Regions from separate parts of the Mus musculus genome. Here region 1 is reported to be linked to region 2. The links are microRNA targets in miRTarBase. Many come from high-throughput screens and were not tested one by one. Region 2 holds a microRNA gene; the other region holds the end of a gene's coding sequence.
The links. The annotated mature microRNA mmu-miR-201-5p reads UACUCAGUAAGGCAUUGUUCUU and lies in region 2 at 1,416-1,437, shown strand. An mRNA with a match to its seed (bases 2 to 7 or 8) in the 3' UTR can be bound and repressed. Matches are read on the target gene's strand: a 7mer-m8 pairs with bases 2 to 8, a 7mer-A1 pairs with bases 2 to 7 and ends in A, and an 8mer does both.

Region 1 (3,000 bases), not on the chromosome of region 2:
GCATTTTAAGGGGATGGATGAGAGTGTATTCTGGAGTAAACATGAGTGTCAGTTCTTATTGAAAAGATCCTCACATTAAAAGTGCTGAGAGCGTGAACTGTGGACTGTAGAGTTCCGTTAAAAGCACCGTTCTTGGGTTGTGTGGTTCTGTGGGGTTTGGGAACGGTTAACCAGCCGTGTGGAGGAGATCCTCAGTCAGGTGAAGAGTGGGGAAGGTTTTCTGTTTAGGTAACTGAAAGGTGACTTGCCGCAGGCAGCCGTGCGTGTGGCAGGTGGGGCCCTGGATGACTCTGCTCTGCTTCCCTCCCAGGTGCAGCAGTGGCCGGCATCTACAGAGTGGCTGGGAAGAACATGGCCCCGCTGGAAGCCCTGGTGTGGGGCGTGGGGCAGACTGTGCTGACACTCATCATCTCCTTTTCAAGGATCCTCGCCACACTCTGAGTTCTGAGGGAATGTCTTCTTCACTAAGGAAACGTGTGGACAGAGTCCCCGGAAATGTGTGGTTAATCAGCTGAAATGAAGTGGTACAAGCAGGGACCCAGCAAGAAAAACCTAGGGAAGACCTTGAGCCGTGTGGCAAGCCTGCCCTCTGGCGTCCAAACGTTTGCACTACCGCACTGCACCTTACGTGCCTCCATCCCAGGCAAGGTGCACAAGACTCTCTGTGAAGCTGCAAGAAGAAGCACCTTGTTTAGTTGCCAATCAGGTTAACATTGGTGTTGAAACCGTCGTTCTCAACGGTGTTGTGTTAAGTTACAGGAACGTTTTGAGAAATTGATCTATGTGCCAAACTTTCCTTTCTGTTAACATTGATCATGTGACAGTTTGCAAGTGTAGACATAGGTGAGTGCTGTGAGTATACTTGACATGGATTCAGGTAACGTAGCCAGGCTTAGCTTTGTCGTGTTAATCCCATGAGTGTTGGATAGTGGGCTTTCAATACCAAGGATGGTGTTCGGTTTGTTAAGCTGAGTGTTCTGGAACTTGGGGCTTTAATCTGTCTCTGTGTTGTTATTTAATTTATGTGAAAACCACTGGTCTCCTCAGTGGACGACTAGCTGAGCTGTTCTATGGACTCAGACTTGTAGGGTGCATACTTTTCAGTAACCTACACCTTTCATAGTTTCCCTCATATATCATATTCTATTTATATGGATCAAACCTTTATGAGTCAAACACATTGTCACTTGTGTGTCATAAAAATATAATTTACATTTTTCTTATAAATTTTGTAAGGAAAAGTCTAAAATGCATGTTGCATTCTTCAACCCTTCTAAAGGTTTTTGCCTCCATCTCACAGAATATTCTAATTCATTGCAGTGGGATTGTGTGCACTGTGTACGTGTCTTGAGTGTCTTGGATTCTATAGTACTAACTGCTTAGAGAGTGGCCTAAATTAGGCTCTGGGATTAAGAATGCTTCATTTATAGGAAAATAATAAGTACCTTACATAGGAAGAGCAGTAAACTGTCTCCCTCTGTGTATGTGGCAGGGAGAAAATTACACTTGGGAAGACTGAGGACTGAGTGGATGGTTTTCAAGTTGGCAGTTAGTCTGAGTGTATCAAGACAATGCAGAACCTTTATCTAAGCGGGGATGTTAGCGGTGTGGTTTAAGTTTGTGATTCTAAGTTATTACCTGAGTCGAATAGAGTCTCAGGTCACATTCATTAACAGTGGAAATGTACTTTGTTTATAAAACCTTTTAGGAGGTTTAGAAAAACACACAGTTGTTTATTACAAATACAGGAAGTTGGGAAAGTACAGACCCTGGTTGAACTGAGTGTGTGTGTGTGTGTGTGTGTGTGTGTGATAACCAGTTGTAACTACAAACGTGCTAACTTAAGGGAAGATCCATTGTAGAAATTATGAATTTATAGGTAATCTAAAGAATAGCATAGCACCTTGAGCTCCTTGACGTAGTTTGGTTGAAGACGTTTATTATCCATGCCCCTTTTCCCTAACAGAGAATGCATTATCAGTTTCGGGAGGAGCTGCTTTGCCAGTGCATCAGCCAACTTAGACTTACTAATAACGTGGCTTGGAAATTTAACAACCCAAAAATCAACCAAGAAGCAAAGCTATATCCTTAGAGATGTCAGAGAACAAGCCTGAAATTGATTTCTTCTGCTGTGCCCAGGCCTGCTGCTCTTCCCATGCATTCTTTGTATTCTTGCTGTTTTCTAAACTTAAACGTGAGCATCTTTTCCAGGTAACCCCAGTTTTCTCTCCTGTTTGGCTGGCTTTGCTCTTGTCAGCAACTCAGAGCTTTGTGTGCCAGCGTGAGACTTAACTGTCTCTGACATTGACTTGTGTACAGAACAAATATTTGTGTTAACATGGTTATCTTATGATCTGAGAAAGTTATCATGTTAAAGTAATACGGAGCCCATTGTTCAAATCTAAAACTAACTAAAGATTACCTTGATACATTGACTATGTGAATGAATGGACCAAAGAGAATTGCGCTTGTTTTGTGCTCTAGGGTGAAAGTCTAAGGGGGTTAGTTACCTCTTTAGAGACTGTCCTGCGGTCATCTCATTGTCAAGCTAATTTGCATTAAGAATTGTGTTCATGTGTGCACTTTTAATTTGATGGGCATTTTTAGTTTCTTCAGTTATTTCCATTGGGATTTTGTGTAACTATCAACTCTTGGTATTTTGAAATGCAATTGAGTAGTGTGGATTTATGAAACTGTCTATATATCTATTTATATGGTAAAGTTTTCAAGAAGCTGTTTCTTATAGAGACAAAGTGTTTAATGAAATATATATATATATACACATAAGAATATCATTATATATACATATATAGATAGCTATATATGAATACAGTCCAATTGGAAAGCTTTGTTTGATGAACATTTTCCTGTTCTTCTGGAGAAGTTGATACATTTGTTTGGTTAAATGCTCTTTGAAATAGACTGGAGGGTATTTAAGGGTTTGCTGGAGACCCTTGTTTTGGATCTGACAAAAGCTCTCACTGACATAGTCAGTTCCAT
Region 2 (3,269 bases):
TTTGTTATATGTCTCTCTGTGGTCATCTATTTTATGTCACCAAAACTAGAGAAGAATTTAGGCATGAAGGAGAGGAGAGAAGCTGCTCAGCTTTGTCTCCAGCTATTATTACAGTGTGCCATGGCCTAGACTCATTATGCTTTCGGTATCTACTCAGCATTTCTCTGTGCAGAGAGTACCAGCTAGTCCTGCTATACGTTAGGTGGCTACAAGAACTCTTGTGGTTTTTAATTTTAGGTATTGTCTGGAATTAGTGTGAAATGAAGCCAAGAATCCTGTATTTATGAGTAAAGAGATAGTCTCTAGGCCCTTTCTTTGAATGCTACAATTCATAGAAATTTTTTTTTATATTTACAATGTAGTTTTTTGTTGTTACTGTTATAATTTTCTTTGCTTGAATTTTCTGAGCTGTATTTGAATATACTGCATTTTTGTATGATCTTTTTACTCCTGTATTATTTGTGACTTTATATAAGTATTCTTTCAAGTTCTGAATGACAGTTTAGATCTCCTATTGCTTACTTTGTTCTCTTTTCAGGATTTTTTAAATTTTACTTGCACATTTATTTTTATGTATTCCTTGTTTACTTTCTTTATTTTTGACTTGTAAGTTTATGGCTGCTGCTGCCACTGCAGTGGACTTTTATCTTGGATAAGATGATACCAAGCCAAGATCCACATTTTAGAATAAGAATACCTCAAGTTTCTGAGCTTACCCTTTTCAGAACTATTCCTACTTAATTTAATGCAGCCTGCAACATGTGGAGCTAATGAGTTACTGAAGTGACTCATTCTGCAAGAGCTGAATTTTATGTACACAAAGTATAGGGTGATGAAAACTCTATCCTATATCTATAAAGGGAAGATATGAATGGGGATATCTGATATTTCCCAGTCATAAACTCTTATGTTATTATATGGACAGAACACAAAAATGACTTAAGGAAGACTTGGGTAGAAAAGAAGGACAGGGGTGGTAAAAGAGAAGTAAGAGGAATGAATGTCATTCGTGTCTTTTGAGAAGATTCTTCTGATGATTCATGTAATGAGGGTGTGTATTGGCTTACTAGATGAAATGGCAGAGGGAACAGACTAGTGTTAGCACCTTCACTCATGTAGTGTGTGATGTATCACTTGAGGATGTACCACCCATTTAACAGGAAACATGCTTGGTACATCTTTGAGTGAGATAACACACAACAGCTACCACCTCAATACTGACCCTAGAAAAGGGGCTTGAGTCTCAGCATAAGCTATTTTTTTGCTACTTCAACTCATAGTACACTTTGGAGAATGCTGTATACAAGAAAGGATTGACAGCAATGTTCCCTGGGAATAGAGTCATCTATTTTTCATTGCTTTGTGTTTATGTTAAGATGAGTTGGCTACTTTCAATGATGCTGTGTACAGTACCTTACTCAGTAAGGCATTGTTCTTCTATATTAATAAATGAACAGTGCCTTTCTGTGTAGGGTAATGTGCAACATGGACAACATTTGTGGTAGCATTGATAGTAAGTTTCAGTCATAGATCAGTAATGAACATCCAGCCTTGGGTTATTTCTAAGTGCTCTCTTGTATACCTCTTAAGGAACCAGATCTAGAAACTAAGAGTCTCTTAGAAAAATGTTTGTCCTTTCAAGTTGATATTACAACTAACCAAGTGGAAGGCAAGATATATCGTTCACTTTCACCTTTTAGTCATACATCTTTATATAGTTAAACCATTTATTATTTTAAAGCTATAAAAATTTGTACCTCTATGATATTTTTACAATATTTGTTTCTTATGTAAGCAAATGCTACTTTTCCCCTCAAGAACAAAACTCATTCTGATTTCTTTCAGTATTCTTGTGTGCTTTTGATAACATCCTATCTATGTTTATTTGCTAAAAATCATATCATTACAGGTGGAAATACTGACAGAGACAGAGATAAATAGAGGCATCAGGTTGTACTGTTTTGTTACATTTCTGTATTAGGAGAATCGAGATATGTCAATGCCCCCTTGCTTGTAAACTACATCAAACCCTTCTACTATATTCCATTTTATTTCAAATCTAATGCTTTTAGCTAGAGTATATCTATTTAAAACTTCTAATATGTGTCTTCAAAAGAATGATAGGAGTAAGTTCTCCATATTTTAAGCCACAGTTTTGCTCATTCTGATACTGGTCCAGGCATTTCTTTCAATTTGTTCCCAGTTCAGATTGAGATAATTTCAAGTAACTAGCTGTGTGCATCCCAGAATAGAAGATGGTAGATTATACTGATAATCATCATGCATGAAGGGAATGGTCAAGGAAACCAAAGAACTTAGAACAATATATGGACATTTTTAGAGTACATGATTTTTTTATTCCATAAAGCTTTCTTGATAACTCAAATGGGATTTCCGCATTCTAGACTGTGAGTAGGAAATGGGATTTCCATTTTCTCCATTCTAGACCTTATAAATGATTATATTCTTTGTTTCAGGTATCCTATACGTGCATCATTATTGTTTCATTGCTCAGGAGTTGAGGATCTTTAAGTGGTAAGGTACAAAACAATAAAAACCATGTCTCTGCATGGCTCAACACATATTTGTTCCTATTTAACACCTTAAAGTTTCAGATATATGTTTGTATGCAGATGAGTGCCCTTATAACACTTGTCAAAATCTGCAGATATAGATGACAGAAACACAGAATTGCCACAGATCTCATTTACCAACAGAAATAAAAAAGAACCTCAAGAATAACTACTGTAAGTTAATACTACCTCCTTTTTTCCTTTCCACATTTTTATTAGATATTTTCTTCATTTACATTTCAAATGCTATCCCCAAAGTCCCCTATACCCTCCCCCAAACCTACTTCCTAACCCATTCAATACTGCTTCCTGGCCTTGGCACTCCCCTGTACTGGGGCATATAATCTTCACAAGACTAAGAGCCTATCCTCCCAATGATGGCTGACTAGGCCAAGGTCTGCTATACATGCTCTGGGGGTACTGGTTAGTTCATATTGTTGTTCTTCCTATAGGGTTACAGACCCCTTCAGCTCCTTGGGTATTTTCTCTAGCTCTTTCATTGGGGGTCCTGTGTTCCATCCAATAGATGACCGTGAGCATCCACTTCTGTATTTGTCAGGCACTGGCATAACCTAACAAGAGACAGTTATATCAGAGTCCTCTCAGCAACTTAGAATACCTAAGATACAATTTGCAAAACACATGAAACTCAAGAAGAAGGAAAACAAAAGTGTGGATACTTTGTTTCTCCTTAGA

Region 1: the mRNA of Tmem170b is a reported target of mmu-miR-201-5p. Seed matches in the 3' UTR shown: 7mer-m8 at 1,522-1,528 and 7mer-m8 at 1,778-1,784.

The regions. Positions count from the first base shown.
Region 1 is chr13:41,634,146-41,637,145 of GRCm38, forward strand. It overlaps Tmem170b (transmembrane protein 170B), which reads left to right. Exons shown (of 3, transcript NM_001163572.2): 3 at 311-3,000. The coding sequence ends at 441. Among named protein-coding and RNA genes, the nearest start is that of Gm5082, 13 kb to the right of the region's middle.
Region 2 is chrX:67,986,303-67,989,571 of GRCm38, reverse strand. It overlaps Mir201 (microRNA 201), which reads left to right and starts at 1,411; the gene lies at 1,411-1,476. It overlaps Mir547 (microRNA 547), which reads left to right and starts at 1,121; the gene lies at 1,121-1,198.